7 linked regions of the Oryctolagus cuniculus genome follow. The protein of the gene in region 6 interacts with the protein of the main gene of each other region in a biochemical or structural test. Links are inferred from orthologs where the notes say so. Each region holds a gene or a part of one and is shown on either strand. Other genes may lie near its edges.

Evidence for each region.
Region 1: the proteins of RPS6KA1 (region 6) and MAGI3 interact in a test that uses a peptide from one of them, tested with the Homo sapiens proteins (2 studies listed by BioGRID and IntAct). The link is inferred for Oryctolagus cuniculus from reciprocal best matches to the Homo sapiens genes RPS6KA1 and MAGI3.
Region 2: the proteins of RPS6KA1 (region 6) and PDZRN4 interact in a test that uses a peptide from one of them, tested with the Homo sapiens proteins (2 studies listed by BioGRID and IntAct, with this or other methods). The link is inferred for Oryctolagus cuniculus from reciprocal best matches to the Homo sapiens genes RPS6KA1 and PDZRN4.
Region 3: the proteins of RPS6KA1 (region 6) and SNTB1 interact in a test that uses a peptide from one of them, tested with the Homo sapiens proteins (2 studies listed by BioGRID and IntAct, with this or other methods). The link is inferred for Oryctolagus cuniculus from reciprocal best matches to the Homo sapiens genes RPS6KA1 and SNTB1.
Region 4: the proteins of RPS6KA1 (region 6) and ERBIN interact in a test that uses a peptide from one of them, tested with the Homo sapiens proteins (2 studies listed by BioGRID and IntAct). The link is inferred for Oryctolagus cuniculus from reciprocal best matches to the Homo sapiens genes RPS6KA1 and ERBIN.
Region 5: the proteins of RPS6KA1 (region 6) and PDZRN3 interact in a test that uses a peptide from one of them, tested with the Homo sapiens proteins (2 studies listed by BioGRID and IntAct, with this or other methods). The link is inferred for Oryctolagus cuniculus from reciprocal best matches to the Homo sapiens genes RPS6KA1 and PDZRN3.
Region 7: the proteins of RPS6KA1 (region 6) and GRID2IP interact in a test that uses a peptide from one of them, tested with the Homo sapiens proteins (2 studies listed by BioGRID and IntAct, with this or other methods). The link is inferred for Oryctolagus cuniculus from reciprocal best matches to the Homo sapiens genes RPS6KA1 and GRID2IP.

The regions. Positions count from the first base shown.
Region 1 is NC_091438.1:56,976,569-56,980,588, forward strand, and holds the start of MAGI3 (membrane-associated guanylate kinase, WW and PDZ domain-containing protein 3), read right to left. Parts: upstream 2,801-4,020; 5' UTR 2,184-2,800; coding exon 1,868-2,183; intron 1-1,867.
Region 2 is NC_091440.1:132,670,998-132,675,180, reverse strand, and holds the start of PDZRN4 (PDZ domain-containing RING finger protein 4), read right to left. Parts: upstream 2,801-4,183; 5' UTR 1,402-2,800; coding exon 895-1,401; intron 1-894.
Region 3 is NC_091437.1:146,580,983-146,585,236, forward strand, and holds the start of SNTB1 (beta-1-syntrophin), read right to left. Parts: upstream 2,801-4,254; 5' UTR 2,580-2,800; coding exon 2,003-2,579; intron 1-2,002. UniProt on the Homo sapiens protein: Adapter protein that binds to and probably organizes the subcellular localization of a variety of membrane proteins. May link various receptors to the actin cytoskeleton and the dystrophin glycoprotein complex.
Region 4 is NC_091445.1:86,967,413-86,970,912, reverse strand, and holds part of ERBIN (erbin), read right to left. Parts: intron 2,457-3,500; coding exon 2,335-2,456; intron 1,425-2,334; coding exon 1,251-1,424; intron 223-1,250; coding exon 37-222; intron 1-36. UniProt on the Homo sapiens protein: Acts as an adapter for the receptor ERBB2, in epithelia. By binding the unphosphorylated 'Tyr-1248' of receptor ERBB2, it may contribute to stabilize this unphosphorylated state.
Region 5 is NC_091441.1:75,889,378-75,891,667, forward strand, and holds part of PDZRN3 (E3 ubiquitin-protein ligase PDZRN3), read left to right. Parts: intron 1-862; coding exon 863-979; intron 980-1,662; coding exon 1,663-2,290. UniProt on the Homo sapiens protein: E3 ubiquitin-protein ligase. Plays an important role in regulating the surface level of MUSK on myotubes. Mediates the ubiquitination of MUSK, promoting its endocytosis and lysosomal degradation. Might contribute to terminal myogenic differentiation.
Region 6 is NC_091438.1:144,950,243-144,953,742, reverse strand, and holds part of RPS6KA1 (ribosomal protein S6 kinase alpha-1), read left to right. Parts: intron 1-1,716; coding exon 1,717-1,797; intron 1,798-1,931; coding exon 1,932-2,011; intron 2,012-3,310; coding exon 3,311-3,417; intron 3,418-3,500. UniProt on the Homo sapiens protein: Serine/threonine-protein kinase that acts downstream of ERK (MAPK1/ERK2 and MAPK3/ERK1) signaling and mediates mitogenic and stress-induced activation of the transcription factors CREB1, ETV1/ER81 and NR4A1/NUR77, regulates translation through RPS6 and EIF4B phosphorylation, and mediates cellular proliferation, survival, and differentiation by modulating mTOR signaling and repressing pro-apoptotic function of BAD and DAPK1.
Region 7 is NC_091450.1:39,964,061-39,967,560, reverse strand, and holds part of GRID2IP (delphilin), read right to left. Parts: intron 3,037-3,500; coding exon 2,882-3,036; intron 1,996-2,881; coding exon 1,858-1,995; intron 1,606-1,857; coding exon 1,505-1,605; intron 1,326-1,504; coding exon 1,208-1,325; intron 608-1,207; coding exon 258-607; intron 1-257.

The sequences.
Region 1 (4,020 bases), about 88 Mb from region 6:
AGGGCAAAACATTCTTACAATAAAAATGTCAACAACATTGTGAGGCAAAGGATGTTTATTCAACACAGTTCATTAACATCACCAAACACACTCTAAACCTTGAATTATTTTCTTAAATTTGATATGCAGAGTGAGTAAATGTATAACATGTAGACCAGATTAATATTCATTAAAAAGCCATTTCTCTGATTTTCCAAAAGAAACACAATAATTTGGAATATACCAGTTTCATCAACCTAGCAACAGTAAGACTTTTTTAAAGGTAACAGTTATACTCTAATTTATACTCCAACTAATCAAAACAAAACACAAAGCAATGATGCAGATATTCCCATTATCCACTGACTCATGGGATTTGAACTACAAGGCACCTAGAGTAGCAAAGGCTGTCTATGTAGTATTGTTGACAGTGCCTGAGTGTCTGAACTAAAACCCTAAAAGCGTTTCCTTTATCCATCTTCACATATGGTCCTAAAAGTTAGGGGAAAGAAAGAATTTTGCAATTCTCAAAACTACATAAAGTTTTAAAGCCTGCCAGAGCTTTTAAAATTACCAATGAAAACATCACATAAATCCTTAAACTTAAAATGATGATGATGGAATATGAAGAAAATCTTCATTTAAGATTAAAGAACCATGTGAGTGTGTGCATCCATATAACCACACTACACTCATCCTTATGTATACGGTGCACCACAAACCATCAGTTCCCATTAAGAATAAGAACTATCAGAAATGTTTCCAAAGTGAGCTGCTGGGAAAGGAAAAAAAAAAAAAAAACTGAGGGAGACAAATTTTTCTCCAGAATTTTCTAGCATTTTGTAGTGAAGAGATGGACTGACATCTAGCCCAGATCACAATTAAGCAGCCCATCATATTGTGATGCATCATTTCAGCAGTGCACATTCAGGAAGAAGACAGCTTGACTTCTAATCACGTTGTAATCCTAATTCCCTCTCCTACAAACACCTCAGAAGGCAGAACATCCTACCGTTCTAACACACCCGACGATAACAGTGGACAACAAATTCATCAGGACTACTACCTACTACCAGCTCTCACTGAACCACTGTACGCAATCTGATCAATGCTTTGAAACTGGCAAGTATGCCATAAACGTAATGTGCTTTGCACCAGATTTTACTAGCATGAAACACACCAGGGCAACGGGTGCTCTTTCCACCTACCACTTCAACAGAATTCTGTTAAAATCAAAAGCTCCAGAAAATCCTTTTACTCAGCCAGGCACCTCGCTCTTCCTTCAAAACCCAGACTCACGTTCAACAACACACGGCTCGGTCACATTTCACCTCCGGTACCCTCCTCGGCTCCCACACACCTGAACCACCTGGCCTGAGTTAGGCTGTTAGATGTCTGCTGGCGTGCAAAACACCCCGAAGCAGCTAAGCCCTCCCAGCTGCACCAGGTGGTGACCCTGGCACCAAGTGCCTCCATAGTAAAAACCTTACTCCTTGTTAGAAGATGCGTTAAGACCATGCCCAAGAAAATGCTACAGTCCTGAGAACCTTTTCCACAAGGCCTCCTCCCAGCAGAAAACTGTCTGCGGTGGGCGACGGAGCTACAGATTTAGGAAACCCAGCCTCTGGTCGCAATTCTGTGACACAGCAGCCATGCCAATCCAGAACTCAGTTTTCCAATCGGCAAAATGGGAATCAGCACCCTTTCTCTCCACCCCCTCCACCCCCCTCCAAGGGAGTCAGGCACACCCAGGAGGTCTGAGATAGCCCGGGGACCCTAAGCGGCGGGAGATGCCAGCGCCCCAGGACGCCCACCTCGGACCTCCCTGACCACCCCCTCAGTCTCCACCCACCACCACCACCACCACAGCAAGGCAGAATAGGCGTACCTGGCTTCACGGTCTTGAGACGGATGGGCTCGCGGAAGTGGCGGATGACAGCCAGGGTGTCCCGGTTGGTGAGCCCGCTGACGGGCGTCCCGTTCACCTCCAGCAGCACATCCCCCGGGCTGGGCGCCTTGCCTGACACCACGCAGCAGGTGCCCCCGCCGGGCTCCTCGCGGAGCCGCCCCAGGTAGGGGAACTCGCCGCGCTCCGCGCCGCCCCGGATCTCGGCGCCCAAGTCGCCCGGGGGCCCGGCCCAGGACACCGCACACTCCTGCACCTTGCTGAGCCAGTGCTTCTTCTTCTTCAGCGTCTTCGACATCCCGAACCCCGCTGCACCATGGGGGAGACCCCGCGCGGGCGGCCGGGGCGCCGCTCCCGCCCCCTCTCAGCCGGGGGGCCCCGGGCGGCCCGCGGAGCCCGGCCAGGGGGGGCTCGCCGCTCTGGCACCCCCACCACCACCACCTCAGCCCGCCGGGCGCCGGCCCCTCCGAGCCCCGAGACGCCCCTCAGACGTCCCTCCCGGCTGCGCTCTCTGGGGCTGAGCGGGCTCCGCGAGGGCCACCGCGGGTTCGGCTGAAGAAAGGAAAAGGGAATTGTCCTCGGGCGATTCCAGAAGGGGTTTCGGGCGGGGTCACTGCCGACGGCTGGCCCCCGGGCTCTGCGCCCGAGCGGCGGGAAAGGCTGAGGCAGGGGGGCGGGGAGGCGAGGGGGGAAGAGCCGGAACGGGAAAAAATCCGTCGGGGGCGCGCAGAAGTAGAGCCGTCGCCGGATCGACCCGGGCTGCTGCGGAGCCGGAGCGCGGAGACCGACGCCTGGCCCAGGCTGCCAGGAAACTGCCGCTTTCAAACCCGCCGCAACCTCCTCCTCCTCCCTCTTCCCTTCCCCCCGCCCTCGCCCATCCCTCATCCAGAGCCCCGCCCCCTCCCGCCGCGCGGCGCCCGGCGCGCTGCCGTCACAGGCCAGGCGCTTGGGAAGGAGCCCAGCTCTCGACTCTCGCGCCGGGGATTGGGCCCCGGCAGGCAGGGGGCGGACCCTCGACGAGAATGAGCGCAGGTGATTGGTTGACGGGAGTGGAGGGGGCGGGCATTGGGATGACTGAAGTTTAGAGAGGGTGGAAAGAAGTTTGGAAGAGTGAGGAAGGACGATGGGGAGGGGCAGGGAAGTGGAGCGGACTGCAGGTCGCTTGGCAGGGAGAGGCCCTACGCGCGGCGACTGAAGCCAAGGAAAACTCGGATTCGTGGAGTGCCCGAACTCCCCGAGGTGGGGGCGTGGCTGGCGAGCCGGGCGGGGTCGGGGGGCGGAGCCTCGGAGCCGCCGCGGGGCGCTGAGAGGAGCCGGAGTGCTTAGACTGGAAGACGGCGCGCCGAGTCCCGGGCGCCTGCCACAGCCGGTCACTTACCTTGAGTCGATCTGTGCTGCTTCTTGTTCGTTCGTTCGTTCAACAAATGTTATTGAACGGCCACTGAGGCGGGGGATCCAGAGTCCCGTGGATGGAAGGTAAAATAGAATCCTGCGCTGCAATGGCTGCGTGAGCTGGGGCCAATTAGAAGACCTCTCTGAACCGAAGCGGCCTCTGCTGAAAGTATCCTTAACACGCACCCGTCCGAGTTGTTGGCGAAGATTACGTGAGATGTCTGTAAAAGATCTGCATGGTGCCCCGCCAGACGATGGATGCGCCTTAGTATCTGGTAGCAGATGATGATGAATTTGTGGTAGGGAGGAATTGTGCCAGCCACTGGGATTCCCGGGGTGAAGGAACACAGAGGCCCTGCTCTCCAGGAGGTTACAGCCTAGTGCGAGGGCCAGACGGGGCGGTGTGGATGGAGGTGGAAGGCGGTTAGGAACTAGCCTGGTAGCCAGCATAACTGAGTTGCAGTCTTCCCATGCTGCTTACTCGCTGTTTGACCTTGGCCAAATGGATACCTCAGAGCCCTTCCAACACTTATTTCTTAGAAATTCCTCCTGCGCTTTCTCCCCTCCCTCGCCTCCCCTTGTCTTTGGAATGCCCTTCCTTCATTCCAGCTCTGCAAAATCCGATCCATTCTTACCCCAGATGCCATTTCTTCCAGGTAGCCTTCTCTGGTTTCTGGCCCTCAGGTGCGGAGTGTCTTCTCGGAGCTCTGAGACTTCACATTTACGCTTTCTCCCATCTCCTT
Region 2 (4,183 bases), on a different chromosome or scaffold from region 6:
CAATGTTACGGCACTACAGAGCCCGCAAGGTGCACTTCACCCAGGGCGGCGTGCGAGTGGAAACCCCAGCAGCTCCGCCCAAGCCGCTGCACGGCCCGCGCCCCAGGCCAGGGTCCCCGAGCGCCTCCGGGCAGCGCGCACAGCGGCCTCTGCCGGCGGCGCGAGGCTCTTCCCGGAGGTCCCCACGCCTAGCGCTGCCCTGCGTCTCTCCCGGGTCTGCCCCTCGCATCGATCACCGCACACAGGGGAGCGCGGGCCCCTAGCCGGAGTTCCAGGGCAGCAGCGCCCCGGCTCGCCCAGCCGCCCGCCCCGGAGGCGGCGCGAACGGCCAGCCCCAAATGGGCATTTCTGGGGACGGCCCCTCCCCGGGAGCGCCGGGGATGCAAACAGCTCCTTGAATGGAGCGCGAGTCGGGCTGAGCCGCGGCTCCCCGCGCAGCGGCCAGCGGCGCCAGGCCCTGGGCCAGCGACCGGACGGCCCTATAAACACCGCCCCGGGCCGCAGGGAGACGAGGGTGCGGTGGGGGCGGCTAAAGCGCTCTCGCACACACGCCCCCGCCCAAGCTCGCAGCGAGGCCCCGCAGCACACGGGGTCTGCGGGCCTAAGAAACCTCGCCTCCCAACCACTTAGCCCTTGGGGTCCCCGAGCGGGGCGCCCTTCCCAGGTGCAGGGACGCGGTGGGAAAACGGGCTCCCCTGCTCACTCCTGCGTCTCGGGGAAGTTGGAGCGGACCCGCGGCAGGGCGCACGCCCAGCGGGAGGCAGGAAGGGGGACCACCCCACGGACCGCAGCGAGAGCGCGTTAGCGGGGCGCGGACCCGCAACGCGAGCAGCTCGCGGACGCTCAGACCCAAACTTCGCTTCTGCCCTCGTAGCCCGAGCCCCCCGTGCTTACCCGGCCGCGGCCGCCGCCCAGGTCTCCGGGGAAGGTGCGGGCGCCAGCCATGAGCTGCGGAGATTCGTCCCGGGCCTTGCGTGTCCCGGGTTGCGCCGTCTCACGCCGGCCCCCAGCCGGGTCCTGCAACCCGGACCCTCGCCCGTCGCCGCCGCGCAGGCCCGAGACGCAACCCCGGGGGTCGCCAAGGCGGCGGTGGCGGGAAGGGACGAAGGCCCTGCGCTCGACGGGAGCCGCCAGCTCGCACGGCCGGGTCGTGCGCAGCTCCTGGGGAAGGCTGCGCGGTGGCGGCGGCGGCGGCGGCGGCGGCGGCGGCAGCACTCGGCGCACCCGGTCCGGAGCCCGTGGCGGGCACCGCAGCGCGCAGGGGCGCGGGCGCCGGGGGCAGCGGGTGCCGCACGCGGGGAGGCGCGGCGCGCCCGAGGACTCCCGCAGCCACCGGCCGCACGGCTTGCAGGCGAGGGCCTGCTGCTCGGCTTCGACGAAGCGCTCCAGGGCAAAGCCCATGCCAGGGGCCGGGGCGCCGGGAGCGGAGCGGAGCGCTGCGCGCAGTCCCCGCGCCCTGCCCGGGCCGCCGACTCGCGGCTGCCGGGCTCGCGGAGTGCGCGGGGGCGGCGGCGGCGGCTGTGAGCTCAGAGTTTGTTTGGCTCCAAGTTTTCAGGCTCCCGCTAGGTCCCTAGCCTCCGCCGTATTGACGCTAATAGAAGCCACCTCGGGAGCCCCCGCCTCCTGCGCAGCTTCTCGCTTTGGTCGGCGGAGGACCGGGGCCATCGGACGGCTGCAGCCTCCTCGGGATGCGCACGGAACTCCGGGCAGGCAGGGGCCTCGGCTTTGGCGCGGCGCGGGCATGGAGCAGCGACTTTTAAATTCTCTTCACCTGCGGGCATCAGCGCGCTCTCCAGCAAGTGCGCTTGGAACACCTGTGCTGCGGCTCGTTCCAATCGGCGCGCGGGGCAGCCTCACCGTCAGGAACCCAGCACTGGGAACTCCTCGCCTAGGACCTCCCGGGAGCCAGGCCGCCGAAAGCGTGATCCAGACACCCGATGCTGGCACCAGGATGGGAGCCGGCAGGTGCCCGCCCAGGACACCTGCCGCTGGGGGTGGGGGTGGGGGCGTCGTCGCGCCCCGCGAGGTCTCCTGCCCAGCCAGGAAGCTGGGAGCCACCCCGGGGAGTCCGCGTCGGGGGCCGGAAGAGGCATGAGTTCCTGTGCGCACCTGGAAAAGAAAACTGAAGGAAGGGGGCGAGAGGGAAGGCAGTGGAGGCGCTCAGACATCAAGTCCTCTGGCCGGCCGGTTGGCCCCGAGTAGACGTGTGGACGCCAGCTGTCCCTGTCCCGCTGTGTGGCGTCCCCAGCCCTGCCGCCGCCTCCTTGCTCGCCTTCGGAGCCTGGGGATGCAGAGGCGACACCAGCACCGTCCCTGACCGTCGCGATCCCCTTGCCAAGAACGCGTTTCGCGAGTCAGTGGCGGAGGGTTCCTCCCAGCCAGGGGAGCTGCCCTGGGGGAGCTGCGGCTGCCGTCTGCAGGAGCGCACAGGAAGGCGCCGGCGTTGTCCTCCAAACCCATACAGCCAGCTGAGGCGTTAGCGAGGGCTCGTGATGGGGCCATCAACAGGCCTGATCGGGCCATCTCCCGGAGGGCGGAGCGGGAGCCCGGAGCCCTCTGCGTTCAGTGCCAAGACCCGGTGTCTCAGGAAGATGGCCCAGCCCACCTTCCATGCCTGCAGGTAGAGCCACCTCCATGACACCGCATTCCAGAGCCCTGCCACCTTTCCTTTGGCCTATCTTTCTACGAATTAACACAAGAAGCCCCTGGATAAATAAATCATGGAGCGTTAACAGCATGAACTAGGAAGGTACTTAAAAACATTTGTGGGAAAATGGAATTAACTGGTACATTTATTTCCATGCAAACTTTTTTTTTAATCCATGCATGCCAAACGAGCATTTCCCAAAAACGTTTGCAAGTATGCTTGCATTTCTGTGGGTTACACGGACTAGGAACGTGGGAATGCACAGTGTGGTAGATTTTATTCCAACAGATCAGGGCAGCAGGGACCTGGTCCCTCTTTTTTTAGCTGTGTAAAATGCTAAGACAGTTAAGACTTGACATTTATATTCTTCATGGGAAACCCGTCAACACCGAGAATACTTTTTAAAAAGGAAGTGTTGAAATCTAAAAATGTTCTTATCAAAGTATCAGGAAAATGAAACTTGCAGTTACTTGGAAAAAATAAAACCAGGAAAAGCAGTGCTCTTGGTCCACCCGTGCACAGTTCCTACTGCAAAAGTAAGGACTGTGCAGACGATGCTGTGAGCGGTTCCAGGATGTGCAACACTTTGATTATTAAAGAGAAGGCAGATGTGAAAACCCTTGTCCACAGAGAATAACAGTTTAAAAATGAGAACATGTGAAGGGAAGCCAAGAAATGAAGTAGGCCAAAAGAGAGCTTAGGAAAATCTTTTATATAAGGAAATGCAAGCTTGAGCACTTCCCAAGGAGTTAAGCATGCGGGGGAAAAACATTCCGGGTTGTACACTAAGGGAACAGAGGCACACAAGGGAACCTCCTGGATCCTTCCCACCTGAAAACACTGTTGCCCAATAAATCAGAGACACCAGCTGGTCAGTCCCTTTCACTTCCCAAACTGAAAGCTTTTTCTATTTATAAGGAAAATTGTAATATCACTGAAAGGCTTGGGTGAGCTAGCAACATGGAGCCTAATTAAATAGAAGAAGTTGGCTTAGGTGAGCAAAGACAGCACTGGCAATGAATTGAAACTATGCACAAATATTTCAACAAAACAGGCCCGGTGGGGCCGGCTCACTTGGTTAATCCTCAGCCTGCAACGCCGGCATTCCACATGGGCGCCAGTTCTAGTCCCAGTTGCTCCTCTTCCAGGCCAGCTCTCTGCTGTGGCCCGGGAGGGCAGTGGAGGATGGCCCAGGTGCTTGGGCCCCTGCACCCACTTGGGAGACCCGGAAGAAACTCCTGGCTCCTGGCTTTGGATTGGCGTAGCTCCGGCCGTTGCGGCCATTTGGGGAGTGAACCAACGAAAGGAAGACCTTTCTCTCTGTCTCTCCCTCTCCCTTTCAATGTCTGGAACTCTACCTCTCAAATAAATAAATAAAATCTTAAAAAAAAAAAAAAAAAAAACAGGCTGGGTAACATTTGTGTGCCTTTTGGCAGATGAGACAAGTCAAAGCCCGGCATCTTTAACTGTGTTCTCACCGATCACGATTCCCTATCTGAGAGACTCCCTGGATAGGAAAAACAGCAGGCCCACCAG
Region 3 (4,254 bases), on a different chromosome or scaffold from region 6:
AGGCCAAGCCGCAGAAGAGAGGATTTCATTTGCATTTGACCTCACGGTGTGTGACTGCTGCCATAGCACCCAGGACCAACACTAGCTCATTAACAGGAGATTGCTTTATGCAGGACCTCCCCTGGCTCCTCTTATTAGATTTCGGAAAACTCTCACTGGGGATAAGATGCAGCACTGGGCACAGGTTGGTTCCTGTCTAGGAAGCCCACAGGTCTTGATCCTGAAGTATTGCCTGCAACATAACAAAACTTAAGAATGTCCTGTTAGAGATTTTCACACAACTCCCTTTTCAGTTGCTACCGATTTTTGTTTGTGTTTTGCTTCTCTAGGTTTATTTTCAACCACAGGGAGTCACATTTTCTTCCTCTTTTTGGATGGGAGTTTGTTTTGTTTTTAACCTCTTTGGTTTCAATTTAATGAATAATGACTTGGCAGTGAAAGAAAAAGGGACAACATACAAGATATTCTAAAATTAAAATAGCCTGGCTTTTGCACCTTCCCCCAGTATTCACAGTAAGTATTTGCAAATTGAAGAACTGCCCAACAGTTTAGAGTACAAGCTACACTTGCTGCAGATCCCACCTGTCCCCTCACACAAAGCAACACACAGTTGAATCAAAAAAAAACTTTGTTGTTTACTTATGTTAATCATCAAGCCAAAGCAAACAGACTTCCAGTTTCTGGATCCAGGGTGGTAATTAAATATAAAGACATCACAGATCCTCTAGACAAATAAGGGGGAGAAAAGAAGCCCTCTGTCTTCTAGGCCAAGAGGTGGGACTTCACACATTAGGGAGTTGCTTGAATTGTCACACACAGTGCAAAGTTGGTTTCCCAACTCTGAAGTTTCTCAGATTCACACACCCAGCACCCTGACTTACGTCCCGAGTTTAGAACTTAAATCGATGCCATTTCACCAAGTCTTGGTTTGAATATTGCTTCATAGCCAAGTTCCTTTCTTCACTCACAAGGTATGCGTGTCATCGGATACCCAAGCTCAGGACAGACCTTTAACTAAGTGAGGGACTCTGGACGATTCACTCTGTAAGGTAAAGGGGGCCTTGGATAAGTGGACAAACTACATTGTGGCGTCAGTGCCGGCAGAGGCACGCAGAGCGGGAGGAAAAGCAGGTAGCAAATGAGAAACGCAGCTACAGCAAAGAACATGTGCTCAGTGTACTATCTCACTGCTCTCTTCTCCTGCATAATGCCACATGCTCCAGAATCGGTACAAATCGCTATTTCTTCTATTCACACTCGGTGACGAAGGAATGAGAGGCATCAGACCACAGAAGATAGTTTCTAAAAAGTCCTTGCGCTCAGGGGAAACTGTTTCCAAAGGGCAAATTTGTTTCCACACCTTTCTGAAAAAGCTCCAGAAAATGCAGGCAGAAAAACCACTTCACCCAGCTCCAGCTCCGCACCCAGAGGAGCCAGGAATCCAGACTGACCGGCCAAACACCCGGCAGGGGAAGTGAACTTTTGCCTAAAATTGCAACACATCTCTTAGCCCTTGGCACAACTCCCCGGGCACAATGCCCGCTCTCCAAACTGCAGGCGGGAAATAGAGAAGGATGGACCGGAGTTTTGGCATTGAAATATTGCTCGCTCTCTCCTGCTCCTCCATGATTCAGTCCTGTCAGCGGGCTAGCGCAGGCTTCGGAGTGGGAAACTGTGCAGAACAGAAAACTGCATTGCTACCACCGAGCGGATCCGCTCCGCGACGCTCCCAACACCTCAAAGCCCCTTCCACTACACTTGGATTATCCGCAGACGAAAAGGAAACATCGCACACTAAGCATACCTTTTGGCCCTGAAACCCCGCTCGCCTGTCTTTCCGTGCACCCCCCTTGGGAGGGGCACGTTGCCCCAAGCTGGGTAAAAGTTGTCAAAAATCCCAAGAGCCGCCGCCGCCTTCACCTGCACGCACAGGGCCGGGTCCCTGGGGTGCGGGTGGGAAAACCCGCAGGTGCGTGCGGCCAGCGCGGCGTTAACCCCTTACCTTCCAGCAGCACCTCCTTGCCTGCGCGCTTCAGAGCCTGCACCGCCTCGTCGTGGGTAGCATCCCGCAGGTCGGCTCCGTTCACCGATAGGATGGCGTCGCCCACGTACAGAGCTTGGGTCTGGTCCGCCGCCAGCCCCTTGAAGATCTTGCTGATGAGGATGGGCATCTTGTTCTCTTTGCCCCCCTTAATGCTAATGCCCAAACCGCCCAACTCCTGCTTCAGCACCTTCACGCCGCGCTTCTGGTTCGAGATGGACTCGGGCACCTGCTCCGGGAGGTCGGTGAAGGCCGTGCGGACCCCGGCGGGCGAGTCCGGGGGCTGCGCGCCGCCCGCGCCCTGGTGCCCGGCCCCGGCACCCCTGCAGAACGAGCCATTGGTGGCTGCCCCGATGCCGTTGTACGCCGCAGCGCCCTCCTCGCAGCTCAGAACCAGGGCGTCTTCGCTCAAGTTCACCAGAACTTTGTGCCAGCGATCCCGCACCAAAACTTCCAGCAGCCCGCTCCGCTGAGCCCGGCCGCTTCCCCCGCCTGCCGGCCCAGCCGCCGCCGCCGCCGCCGCCGCCGCTACCGCCATCTTTCCGGCATTCTTAAAACGCCATGTGATTGCAAAAGGGGGAAAAGTGGGGAAGGGTTGCGGGGAGCAGGACGCGGGGTCCGGGGCAGAGAGCAGAGCGCGCCCGGTGCAGACGCGGCGGCGCGCGGGACTCCGCTCCGGGAGTTCGCAGGCGCACTGGGCGCGGGTTGGCAGCCGCAGCGGGGCTGGCTTGTTCCCCCTCGCCTGATCCTGGGCGGGGTGGAGCAACCTAAAAGAAGAAGGAGAGACCTAGACAGGGGAGGGAAAAAAAAAGGCAGCCAGCTGCTAGTTGCAAAACCCCTCGCCAAGGGGAGCCGCGGAACAGCTAGGCGCTGGCTGGAGTCCGTAGGGCGCCGCACGCTCCGGGAAGGGCGGGGACCGCGCACCCTGCCGCCGCTCACCTGTTCCAGCAGCCGCAGCGGTCACTCGCCGCCACACCCCGCCAGACCTGGGCACCCGGGGACGGCCACCCCAGCGCCTTCTGCGTCTCACGTCTCTCCACTCGCCGCAGCCCCCTTTCCTTTACCGTGGGCGTCCTGCCTGGGTTTATCCAAGTAGATCCTCCCTATCCCTTTCCCTTTCGCACCCGGCGGGTAGAATTGTTCCTTGGTCCCTGGTCTCCCCAAACCAGCGCTTCACTCAGTGCTTACCTGTCCCTCCTTTCAAAGGGACTCTCGGGAAGCTAGGTAGGCGCAGACCGAGGGCCTGGGCGATCCCAGGGTCAACAAGGAAAGCTGCCCCCGCGGTCCTAGAATAAAGCGCGTAACCCACGTGTCTAACCCTCTTCTTCAATGCAACACATCTGTTCTACTCGGGCTCTGGAGCGGTTTCTCCTTTGGCCTGGGGTTTTCAACAGGTCACAGCCTGCCTGGACCCCAGGGACAAACGTTCTTCCAGCTGGAATTCATTACGTGCTCTGTGCTTCTGACCTGTCTCTCCAGCCACAGTCCCACACTGAATGCTTCATGTTGCTTTCTCCTTCTTGAGACACCATACAAGAGCTCTCCTATTCAAGAACTCAGATGGAGTATCTTGCATCTGCAGGGTTCCTTTGCTTGTTACTTATTTGCATCTCGTGTTGCATTTTTTCAGGGTAACAGTGTTAGTTTTTTGGATACCTTTCCTGGCCAATCCGGAAATGCCAACATAGTCCATGCCATAGGTGGATGTTCCGGAGTTCCCCTGCCCTTGAACTTTTCAGGTTTTCCACTGCCTCCCCCAACACACACACTGAACCAGTGGTCTCAGGGTCCATTCAAAGCCCTTCTTAGCTACACTCCCTTCCCACTCTTCTTTCCACTCTCTCCAAAAACAAAACAATATTCACAAATTTATTAATCCCTGAAGGTAAAGGCAACACAGCAAGGCGTCAGAAGGAGAGAACTCTTCCTGAACACCTGATGTGTCTTATCATTGAAAGTTCTTAGCCCTCACACTTTTAATCAGGGATGCTTAAAAACTCAGATGAATTCCTAGAGAGTGGAGTTCCAGCGAGGGCCACAGAAGGAACTGAAAACACCTGAACATTTTTTTGCAGATTGGGCAGAGCCCTTGGATTAATGCTTCCACTTACCGCTCTCCCCCATGCCCTTGTATTATTTTTAGCTCATCAACTTCTAAAAGCACTTTATGCCTTTATGTAAAGGTGCCCACATCAGGGATGGCAGCTCCTGGG
Region 4 (3,500 bases), on a different chromosome or scaffold from region 6:
TCTTACGACTGCTCCAGAATGATTATAAAATCATACCTCAAAAACATCATCATGGTTAACAATGTGCTTCACATTCTCAGAGGCTTTCATATGTGCAGTCACTGATAAACTCCCAGGACTGATCTCAGTTTCAGGTTCACTGATCTTCAAAATAGAATTTCCTATCATATACTTTTCTCTTTCATCAACTTTGCTTTTTATTGCAGCAGTACTTTCTGAAGTCTAAGTGAAAGAAAATATTAATTCTTATATCTGTTTTTGTATTAAAGTTTAGATAAAAATTTGCAAGTAACGTGTCAACTTTCAGGAAACTTTAAACTTAGAAACTTGTTATCACTCACAGATAAAAATACCCATTTGGGGAACAGGTGGCCTCTGAAGATTCATGTGCCACATTATAATTGATAATTCAGCTAAGGCTACTCTTCCCCTTAAAAGTTGCAAGGCTGCCTTAGACAAATCAGTCACTTAACTTGGCAAGCTCCACACTGATGGTCAGAATTGTTTTCTGCTCATTGTGGGATATACAGTAACTGTAATGATCTGATAAAATCTTATTCAAATGTCTGTTTTAACAATTACCTTTGAAATCAGAATTGGATAGATTGGATCAGTATTACTGGAGGGCACAAATAATATTTTCCCAATAATCATTTCCCAGGCATACTCTTTGTTCAGGCAATGATTTTCTTGCTTTTAAATATTTACTTTATTTATTTGAAAGGAACAGTTACAGGGAGAGAAAGACACAGAGCTCTTCCTGGCTGCAATGGCCAGGGTTGGACCACGCTGAAGCCAGAAGCCTGGACTCTATATGGTTCTCCCACTCTGGTGGCAGTATCCCAAATACTCAAGCCATATTCCACTGCCTTCCCAGGTGCATTAGCAAGGAGCTGGATTGGAAGAGGAGCAGCTGGGACTCGGACTGGTACTCATCTGGGATGCTGACACTGCAGGCAACAGCTTAATCTGGTGCACCATGAGGCCATCCCCTAGGCAATGGTTTTTTTGAGAGACTACGTTGACTCTATCCTGCCAAACTGAAGATTGTACAGCCATGGAATGATAATAATAGCAATTAGGGAGTTCATTATCACCATAGCTTTGCAGTTCAGGTAGTTGATAACAAAACCACAAACTTAGAAGTACATTTAGCATATACAGAAAGGATCAATTTATCATTTAGAAGTTAAAATTTTTAATGAGTTGGATATAGGCTTTGTCAATCCCTTTGAATTGAGTTTTCTAACCTTTTCACCCATATCTTTGTTTACAACTTGCTGATCTTCATGTGGTTTTAAATCTCTTCCAGAGTCTTCATTGGTCTCTTCATCTTTTAATCTATGTACAATGGTTTGAACAGTTTTGACCATATTCTTAAGCTCATCTGGGTATGGTGTTGGATATCTCTTTAAATTTCCTTCCTAGAGGAATTAAATAAGTGAAACATAAAGTATAAATATTTCTAATGTCAATCTCAAAAAATTTTATAATCCATCTGAACTACACCAAATACCTAGCTCACAACTCTGAGGACAGATGACAGGTTTTAAAAGTATTTTAGACTTTAAAAAATGTGGTTTTAGCACAAAATAGTTAAAGACTTAACTACAAATTTTAATGTTTTGAAATCTTTTTCCAACAGACTTAAATATTTTCTATTTGGAGACACAGTGGGGATACTGACAAAATTGTGTCACTTGGGTTTGAAACAGATATGCTTTCTACCATCTAGACATTTATCCAAATGTAAAATTCACACATACACTTAAGTCTCCTGTGCCAGGAACAGAACTCTGCCAAGGTCAGCCTAACTGTCATTTTCTGGGATTCAGCTAGGTACATAAGTGGCAAATAATTACATCCTTAAGTAAACTGTAAATATGTACTTTCTACTAAAATCATTGTGACACATGTTCTCAATCCCATAAGGAATCGAAATATCTGTAACAAAAAGTTATTAATTTCCGGGATTTATGTAATTAAATCTTAAAGGAAAGGGGGAAAATCACTATAAATTTAGGGAACAAGGAAGAAAACTCAACTCGAGTTTTAAAAGCCACTAATTAGAGACGAAGTTCTGGTTAATTTCCCTAGCCTAAAGAAGAGTCTGGTTTTCTCTTAAATTAACTTTACCAGAAATTCAGCTTTTAATAACATCATTTTATATTGTGCTCAAATGTTTTCACATGTGAAATATTTTGGATTAGTAAGTTCCCTGAGGACAAGGAATGAATTTAGTAGTTTTTCTTAAGACCCAAGTAGCACAGTAGAGGTGTATAGCACCAATTTAAATATTAGCAGGTCTGTTTAAATCTGAAGGAGCAGACTCACCCTTGGAGGTGCTTCCCTTTCATCTTTGTCTTCATCACATTCAAATGCCACTTGAGCTCGCTGTTTCCTCTGTTCCTCCCACAATGAAGGATTAAAACTTTCATTATCTGATATGAACATAACTGGAGAAAAGAAAAACCAAAAAACTACATATTACTGTAATTATAGAAAACCACTATTTAGTAATAATTTTCTTTATGTGTTATGTTCTTCAGAGCAAGTCTAAGTTAAGGCTGGCAAGGATAGCAGCAATAAAACCCTAAGGTAACTATCAGACTGTGATTCTAAGGTTTCTTTACAAAGTAAATCACATTATCTTTTCTCTCTCTGCAGCTGATGTGTCTCTTGTTTTTATACCAGAAGGGGCCCTGAAGAGAGTCTATCAATTAAAACACTAGACAGACAGTTCTGTGAACTACCCTGCAAGGTAACATGGTAATACTGTATATAAGATATAATTTTGTTCAAATTTGCATTTTTGTAACTTCTAATTCCAGTAGTTTATTATGTGTATAGGGGCATGGGAAAGTTTGATAACATTAAGATATTTTGATAAAAAGGATTACCTCAATGGTATGCCATCTTTGCATTAAACATTATATACAAGGTAGATCACTAAAAATGTTAGGACTTAAAAAATCCTTTCAACTATTTTACACTCTACAGAAACTGTAATACAAGAGAAAAATCACAACTCTTTTATCCATTAAAAAAATGACTATCACTACTTAAGAAGAAATTAAAAGCAGCCGGCGCTACGGCTCACTTGGCTAATCCTCCACCTGCAGCGCCGGCACCCGGGGTTCTAGTCCCAGCTGGGGCGCCAGATTCTGTCCCGGTTGCTCTTCTTCCAGGCCAGCTCTCTGCTGTGGCCTGGGAGGGCAGTGGAGGATGGCCCAAGTGCTTGGGCCCTGCACCCCATGGGAGACCAGGAGGAAGCACCTGGCTCCTGACTTCAGATCGGCTCAGTGCGCCGGCCACTGAGGGGTGAACCAACAGAAAAGGAAGACCTTTCTCTCTGTCTCTAACTCTGCCTGAAAAAAAAAAAAAAGATTAAAAGCACCAAAATTATTAGCTAATAAGAAAACTGAAATTCCTGGAATACCCATACATGGTCAATTTGAATGTTTATATGAAACTAGCATAATGCTAAAAACTTTAAATTA
Region 5 (2,290 bases), on a different chromosome or scaffold from region 6:
CGGGCTGTACATCGTCAACCCCTGAAGAGTCTGCTCTTTTGAGGGGCCTGATGAAAGGGTTATTCTTGTCCAGGCCAAACACTTACTTTAGTAGACCTGCTTCTGTCACAAAGAACTCTTTTGAGTTTCTCTTTGGGGGCTGCTCAATCCGTGTGTGGTCCAGCAAGCAGGAGGCCTGGCTGGCCCCACCTGACCCTGCCACACAGACAGCCTGTTGGACTCACTCCCAGCAGCTGATGCAGGGGAAAGAGTGCTCCCTGCAAAACACACAGCGGGCACCAGAGACTTCCCCAGATGTGATGTAGGGTTGGCGGTCTCTTATTTGAAGATTTACTCTATTTATCTGAATGGCAGTGTTACAGAGAGAGCAAGGGAAAGACAGAGTGAGAGAGAGGGAGAAAGAGAGATCTTCCATCCACTGGTTCACTCCCCCAAAGAACCACAACAGCCGAGGCTGGGCCAGGGATGAAGCCAGGAGCCTGGAACTCCATTCTGGTCTCCCACTTGAAGGGCAGGGGCCCAAGCACTTGGACCATCTTCTGCTTTCCAGAAGCATTAGCAGAGAGCTAGAATGGAAGTACAGCACCTGGGACTTGAACCAGTGCTCAGATATGGGATGCTGGCATTGCAGGCAGCAGCTTAACCCACGGTGCCACAGTGGCAGCCCAGTGGAGGTCTCAGGAGTGGGTGGCTTCCCAACCTGCAGCAAAAACAAGGGGCACACTGCACTGGGATGACTCCCGGAGGGAGCCCCAAAATATTTTCCTCTAGGGTAATGTCCTTTCTTTTAACAAAGAAATCAATAACAATGAAAGCAAAAGGAAACTTACAAGGCACTGTTGGCTACTGCTTCTCCCTGCAGCTGGACGAGGGTTGGATGGACGATGACCGGAACGACTTCCTGGATGACCTGCACATGGACATGCTGGAGGAGCAACACCACCAGGCCATGCAGTTCACCGCCAGTATGCTCCAGCAGGTAACACCGGCCACGACCCCTCACCCTACTCCCCGCCCAGCTGCACCAAGGGGGCTGCTCCCTCCATCTCCCTTCCTGATCCTAAGACCCAGAAACCCACTGACCTGAAAGACCGCAAGAGAATAGATTAAGTGCCTTCTCCTGGAGCATGAGGGAGCTGCAAGCTGATACTCTCCATGAGCGAGCTTTTAACAACTGACCTTCTGAGAGCTGTTTGAAATGCACACGTGCTAGCGTTAAGGTGCAGTGGGGAAAATAAAGTGCTGTTTGCAGAAGCAGAGCCATTCCCTGTTTAACCTGAGCTGCTAAGAGCTCCCGACTGTGCCACTATCCTTTGTCAGAGTCATAATCACCCAGTGGAGTCCCTCTGAGCTAATGGAGGCCAGTTATGCAGCCTGCTACCCAAGGACGGGTCGTCCAGTAGTTCAGCCATTCACTGAAGGTGACAGCTACCCCGCACTGACAGACAACTGGGCCACAGTGCAAGGATTAGAGACACCCAGGGAGACAGGAGGAGGGTAGGTGCATTCCAGTCCTGCCCTCAGCGGCTTGGAAGTGGAGAGCCGCCCTTCCCAGGAAGGTTGGCCTTCAGGGGAAAGTCGGGCAGGACCTGCGTCACCTCCACCGCCACTTCTCGCCGCTTTCGGCAATGATCGTTTGTTCCTGTGGTTTCCCTTGTGCAGAAGAAGCATGAGGAGGACGGCGGGACCACAGACACCGCCACCATCCTGTCCAACCAGCACGAGAAGGACAGCGGCGTGGGGCGCACGGACGAGAGCACGCGCAACGACGAGAGCTCCGAGCAGGAGAACAACGGCGACGACGCCACGGCGGCGCCCGCCGCCGCGCTGCCGGGCCACAGGAAACTCACCTGCAGCCAGGACACCCTGGGCAGCGGCGACCTGCCCTTCAGCAACGAGTCCTTCGTGTCTGCCGACTGCACGGACGCCGACTACCTGGGGATCCCGGTGGACGAGTGCGAGCGCTTCCGCGAGCTGCTGGAGCTCAAGTGCCGGGCGGGCGGCGCCGGGCCCTGCAGCCCCTACTATGCCGGCAGCGGCCTGGACGCCGCCAAGAGCGACCCCGAGAGTGTGGACCAGGAGCTGGCGCTGCTCAACGAGGAGCTGCGCAGCATCGAGCTCGAGTGCCTGAGCCTGGCGCGCGCGCACCGGGCGCCGCCGCTGCGCGAGCCGGGTCGGGAGCCCTGGGCGCTGCCCCACGGCGGCCTGCGCGCCTGCACGGCGGGCGCCGACGCGCGCCGCCGCGAGCTCTCCGACATCACCGAGCTGCCGGAGAGGTCCGACAAGGACA
Region 6 (3,500 bases):
CTCTCTCACTCTCTCATGCTCTCTCTTTCTCTCTCTTAACTAATGCAAATGAACAAAAGCCAGTGCTTTGAAGAGGAAGTCCAGCACTCTTAGTCTGAAGTTAGCCTGAAGTGACATTAGTCCTGGTCAGAAGTAGCTGGAAGGCCCTCGTCCAGCTTGGGAGGCTAAGGGGGAGGTGAGACCTGACTGAGGGCAGGAAGACCAGCTGATGTCTGAATCAAGATATTTTTGGTAAAGGTTTATTTATTTGAAAGTTACAGAGAGAGGTAAAGACACACACACACACACACACACACACACACACAGGTCTTCCGTCCACTAGTTCACTCCCCAAATGCCTGCAATGGCCAGAGCTGAGCCAATCTGAAGCCAGGAGCTAGGAGCTTCATCCAGGTCTCCCACATGGGTGCAAGGGCCCAAGGGTTTGGGCCATCTTCTGCTGCTTTCCCAGGCCATAGCAGAGAGCTGGATTGGAAGTGAAGCAGCCGGGACTTGAACCGGCTCCCATATGAGATGCCAGTGCTGCAGGCTGGGGCTTTAACCTGCTGCACCACAGTGCCGGCCCCAATATTTAAATATTTTTTTTTTTTTTTTTTAAATTTGAAAGGCAGAGTTACAGGGAGAGAAGGAGAGAGGGAGATCTTCTATCTGCTGGTTCACTTCCCAAATGGCCGCAACGGCCCAGGGCTGGGCCTGGCTGAAGCCAGAGCCAGGAGCTTCTTCTGGGTCCCCATGTGGGTGCAAGGACCCAAGGACTTGGGCCATCTCCATCTTCTGCTGCTTTCCCAGGTGCATTAGCAGGGAGCTGGATCAGAAGTGGAACAAATGGGACTTGAACCAGCGGCACTCAGGGATGCCAGTGTCACAGGCGGTGGCTTCACCCTCTACGCCACAGCGCCAGCCCTGCAACTTCTATTCTTTAAAAAAATAAGAAAGGGGCTGGCGCTGCGGCGTAGCGGGTGAAGCCTCCACCTATGATGCTGGCATCCCATTTGGGCACCAGTTCGAGTCCCGGCTACTCCACTTCTGATCCAACTCCCTGCTAATGGCCTGGGAAAGCAGTAAAGGTGGTTCAAGTGCCTGGGACCCTGCACCCACATGAGAGACTCCGAAGAAGCTCCTGGCTTCAGATGGGCCCGAGCTCTGGCCATTGCAGCCATTTGGGGAGCGAACCTGTGGGTAGAAGACCCCTCCCTCTCTCTCTTTCTCTCTGCCTCTGCTTTTCAAATAAATAAATAAATATTTTAAAAAATAATAAAATAAAAAAATATGTGGGGAAGCCCACCCAGACCTGTGGCTCAGAGTCTTGGGCCCAGGGAATCTGTCTCCCTAGTCAGCTTCCCGGGTGAGCATCCGCGCCAGCCGCTTCTAGAATCTGGGCTTTGTCTGCTAGAGGACAGGGGCTGGTCGAGGTGCCAGGGAAGATGTGGGGCTCTGACAGCGTGGTGCAGAGGGACACGGGTTGTTCAGCCTGGCCGGAGGCGTGCTGGAGCGCAGGGCTAGACAGATGGGCACTGCCGAGGGCTGGGGGCTGAGAGCAGGCCTGGAAGCCGGGACCAGACCCGGAACGGAGGAGGCAGTGTGAAGTCAGCGTCCCCAAAGCCTGGGGCACAGAGCCCCAGGAGCTCGGGTCTAGTGAGAGCCCTCGGGTGGCCCTGGGGAGTGAGTGGGTGTGCCGTGTGTCCGGCACCGGGTGACTGCCTCTCCTCTGGCCAGTGCGCGACCGCGTCCGGACCAAGATGGAGAGGGACATCCTGGCCGACGTGAACCACCCCTTTGTGGTGAAGCTGCACTATGGTGAGACTGCAGCCCTTCCCCGAACTCCCGCACCAGCCCGCGCTCACCCTGGCCGGTGGTCTACACTGTCCAAGCTCCCACCTGCAGGCTGAGGGGCAGGTCACACGGCCGGTGACTCTTGCCCCTCTCCCCAGCCTTCCAGACAGAGGGCAAGCTCTATCTCATTCTGGACTTCCTGCGCGGTGGGGACCTCTTCACACGGCTCTCAAAAGAGGTGAGCAGATAACCCACTGACGGACCACAAGGCCTCCCACTCCTGGGTCCCGTACGGCCTGGGTGTGGAGCCACCTAGGCCTCCCCAGGTGAACCTGATCCAGGCCTTGTCCGGCCTGGCAGCGCCTCCGAGAGTTCCTCCCCAGTGGATGGAGGAGGGCTAGGCCCTGGGTCTGATGTTCACCGACTGGGGGGAGCTCAGGGTGCCTCTCCCCTGTGTGTCTTTCTTCTTCCAGGCTGCCCTGGGCAGAGCTGGGAGCAGCCAGGAGAAGCCCAGATGTGGCCGGCGCCGCGGCTCACTAGGCTAATCCTCCGCCTAGCGGCGCCGGCACACGGGATTCTAGTCCCGGTTGGGGCGCCGGATTCTGTCCTGGTTGCCCCTCTTCCAGGCCAGCTCTCTGCTGTGGCCCGGGAGTGCAGTGGAGGATGGCCCAGGTGCTTGGGCCCTGCACCCCATGGGAGACCAGGAAAAGCACCTGGCTCCTGGCTCCTGCCATCGGATCAGCGTGGTGCGCCGGCCGCAGCGCGCCGGCCGCGGCGGCCATTGGAGGGTGAACCAACGGCAAAGGAAGACCTTTCTCTCTGTCTCTCTCTCTCTCTAACTGTCCACTCTGCCTGTCAAAAAAAAAAAAAAAAAAAGAAGCCCAGATGCACCGAGAAAGCGGGAGACTCGCACACTCTTGTCCCACCTGTTAGCCAAAAGATTTTGAACTGATATAAAAGGATTTTGAGCCAGATACGAAAAATACGGTCATTAACACAATTCCAACTTTAAAGAGAACCAAGCTTTAAAACAAGGGTGGGGGGGGGGGGGTTGGTTTAAACCTTATTGCGGTGTTTGCATAGGTAAAACATTTACATGATTCAAAAGAAAAATATTTATGGGGAAGGCTTCCTCCTACCCCAGTGCCCTGTATCCCCTATCAGTAAACATTTTTATTGGTTTCTTGTTGAACCTTCCCATGTTTCTTCTGCAAACAAATCCCAGGTGTGTTCTGAATCGCCGCCGCTCTGGATACCATGCCCCCTGCCTCGCTGCGTTCCTTCCAGGCTGTGGGAAGCTCCTGTCCTAGTTCATAGCTGTGCACCAGTCCTTCTGCAGGGGCCAACAACACAGTTCCTCCCAGGCTTCGGCCCTGGGACCCCTGGGCTGTTTCCCGACAAAGACCACCACCCTGGGCAGCCATCATTTCATACTTCAAACCCCGTGATGATACGGAGGGCCGAGGAGGCTAGACCCTAGGGACAAGGAAGCTGCTGCCTGCCCAGGGCCCACTGAAGCCCCTCGCGCCTCTTGCAGGTCATGTTCACAGAGGAGGACGTGAAGTTTTACCTGGCCGAGCTGGCGTTGGGTCTGGACCACCTGCATAGCCTGGGCATCATTTACAGAGACCTCAAGCCTGAGAAGTGAGTGACCCCCCAGCCCCACCCTGGCCTCCCTCGGGGGTGCACAGACAAGGGCTGGGGCCTCTTCTAGAACAGGGTCACCT
Region 7 (3,500 bases), on a different chromosome or scaffold from region 6:
CAGCACGCGGTGGGATAAGCTGGGTAGAGGAACACAAGGGTCTGGTGGTTTACCCTGAGACTGTGGGTGAGGTAGCCTGGGACACGGATGGGGTAATGAGAGTAAATGGGATAGCCTGGGGCCAGGGACAGGATGGGGTAGCCTGGGGCAGACCCCGAGGTCACTGGGCCCCCTGCAGGAGCTGGGGACTTGGTTCCCCGCCGGGCTCCATGTCCACCACTGCCCCTTCCCCCCCACCCCGTTGCTGGCACGCCCACCTCCTCATAGTCGTTCTCGGGCGTCAGAAAGTCCTCCACGATGGTGACGCGGGGGCCCAGCTGCTCACTCAGCGCATCCAGGAAGCGGTCAGTGTCCCGGCTTCGCATCGGGCGCGAGAAGGTGAAGCGCTTCCTGCGGCTGGGCGGGCGGGCAGGGTCCGGGCTGGGGGGGCTGTCGGGGTGGACGGGCCCTGGCTGTGGGGAGGGCGCCCTGCTGCTGTCCAGGCTGGCGTAGGGGTGGGACTCGGAGCTGCTGGGGGAGCCCGGGTCCCCTGAGCACAGCGGGTAGTAGCAGGGGGAGGGCAGCAGCCGCTCGCTGGGCCAGGAGACGCTGGACAGGGTCCTGGGCCCTGGGGTGGGGGATGGAGCGTGAGGACCCCTGTTCAGCCTGCACCCAGGTCACAGGTGCAGGCTGGAGGGGAGGGCCCGGGGCAGGTCAGTGCTGTGGCCCTAGGCACTCCCCTTTGCCCAGTCTGGGTGACTCTGCCTCCCAGGCTTTTCCCAGCGCGAGGTCAAAGGTCAGAGCACCTGAGGGAGACCCGACTTAGCCCCTGGACGGGCTGGACCTTGAAACAGACACCCCAGCCCAGCTGCACGCCATTCAAAGGGCCGAGGGGCCGAGGGTCAGGTGGCCCCTCCCATGCCCAGCATGCCCTGGGCACACAGGGCTCTTGTCCTCTGACTCCCTCCCGCACAGCAACCCACATGCACGCTGTAGTTTGTCCAAGGGCGCGTTGCTAACGCGGGGACTTCCATGGCTGGGGTGAGGGATACAGGTGACATGGGAGGGGCCGGGATGACCCTGACCACGTGGACAACCCTGACCCGTGCATGGAGGCCTCTGGGGGAGGGGTTCCCTCTGCCTCGGGGACGTTTCCCAGGTGTGTGGACCACAGGGACGACCAGACAGGAGGACAGTGCCTCCGGGGACCGGGCTGGCAAGCCCCTACCTGCCGTGTCTGCTGGGCTGGGGCCTGGCGGGGAGCCCAGGGATTTGGATGTCGACCCCATCTTCCCCTTGAAGCTGCTGCTCAGCCGCGACTCGAGCTCCGCGTAGACGGCCGACATCTGTGGGGACGGGGCATGGGGAGTGCAGCCCACGCCCGCGTCTCCCGCGTGGCCCTAATGTGGCTTCAGCCAGCCAGCAGCAGCCACGGGGGCGCCTTGGCCTGGGGCCTCCTGGGCCCCCTCAGCTATGGGCACCCCCATCCCTGCGCATCCCACCTGGGGGGCAGGGCAAGCCTCACCATCTTGGGGTTGGGGGTCTCGGGGAGGGATGTGCCGTCGCCGGCCTGGCGCTCTCCTGGGATCAGAGGAAGCGGCATCTCAGCGCACTCGCTGGGACCTGCTGAGGAATCAGGAATCAATCAGGGGCGGCCGCGCCTGCCCTAGGGGTCTCCTTACCACACCTGAGCCGTGAGGCCTGGGCCCTGGCCTGGATCCCACAGGCCCCGCGGACCCAGGATGGCCATGCTCAGTCTTGCCTGCCCTCATTCTCTGTCAAGTCTCAGCACTGCACACCCCTTTTGCAGATGGGAAAACTGAGCCCTGGAGGTCCTCTCCCACCTACCCACCCCAGCCTTTCCATCGGGGGCCATACCGCAGCTGAGGCTGGTCTCCAGGCCCTGGGACCGGAGGCTCCGGCGGCACACGGAGGAGGCCCTCAGGGAGCTCCGTGGCTGGGGCTCGGGCACCGGCTCTGGCTCCAGCTCCGGCTCTGGCTCCGGCTCTGACTCTGCTGTGGGACATGCAGGTGAGATGGTGGCCTCCCACCCTCTCAGCCAGACAAGGAGCCTCCAATGAGGGCAGAAGTCGCCTGGACCAAGAAGTGGGCCCCAGGCCAGGGAAACCGGGCACCAGGACACAGGAGGAGCCCCCCGGCCTGGCCAGCGGAGGGACAAAATCCGATCCACAGGGTTCTTCCCATGGTAAGAGTCTAGGGTCCCTTGCTTTCTAGGGGCTCAGTGTCCCATGCTGGGACCAGGCTCATCACTGCTGTCCAAAGGGGCTTAGGGGACAACAGGGAAGGGCCTGGCCTGGACAGCTGTGTAGGGTGTGTGCTGCCCAGCCCAGTCCCTGAGCTTCTTGCCAAGACACTTGTCTCCCCCAGAAAACTGTGGGCCCCCAGGACTAGGGCTCATGGGCCCCCAGGGCCAGCATATAGCGGGGCCTGCAGGGACTGTCAAAGCAGGTGCAAAGAGCCCCGAACAGGGCAAATTCACAGGGTCTGACACACTTCCTCCACCTGGCTTAACAGTGCAGGGTGCTGTGGGCAGGTGGGAGGCTCACGGCCCGGCAAGCTGTGAGTGTGTGCAGCAGGTGCACGCGCATGTGTGTGTGTGTTCAGGCACATGTGCTGGGAGCCCACCAGCCAGGTGCCCCCTGGCCAAGGGCTCGTGACCCAGGCGGCATGTGCTGGTGCATCTGTAAAACAAACCACACACACACTTCTCAGCCCGTGACGCACACTTCCCAGGATGCAAAGCAGTGCTGCTGAGGTCACTCCCATTCTGTGCGTGAGGAGCCTGAGAGCAGGCAGTCGGGTGGGAGAGCACAGCTGCCTGTAAGGACTCCTGGGTGGGGACAGGTGTCTGGCTGTGCACCAGGTGGGTGGGGCAGCTTACCCGTCATGGCCGTGTAGCCGAGGAAGCACTCGATTTTCTCCTGGCAGAGCTCCTGTTCCTCATAGGTCAGCAGCTGGTAGATGAACTGCCACAGCACCTGCTTGGCAGGCGTGTCCAGCACGGGATAGACGTCCACAATGAGGGTGTCGATGTTCCTGGGGGAGGGTGCAGGACAAAGGGGTTCATTATCCAGGGGCTCACCGCAGCGGGTAGGGTGGGGTGGAGACCAGGGCGATCCTTCCAGGCCACAGAATTCAGCCAGAGAAGGAGCAGCAGGCAGGAAGGTGGGCTCTGGGGCCAGGTCGGCAAGATTCAAATCCTGGCTCTGCCACTGAGCGGCTGAGTGTCCTTTCTCAGCTTACTTAACTTCTCTGTGCCCACCTATAGAATGGGGATCAAAATAGCACCTACTGGGCTGGAGTGGTGACACAGCAGGCTAAGCCATCGCTTACAACACCGGCATCTCATATGGAAGTGCCGATTCAAGTCCCAGCTGCTCTGCTTCCAATCCAGCTTCCTGCCAGTGCACCTGGGAAGGCAGCAGAAGATGGCCCAAGTGCTTGGGACTCTGCCCCCATGTGGGAGACCCAGATGGGGTTCCTGGCTCCTGGCTTCAGCC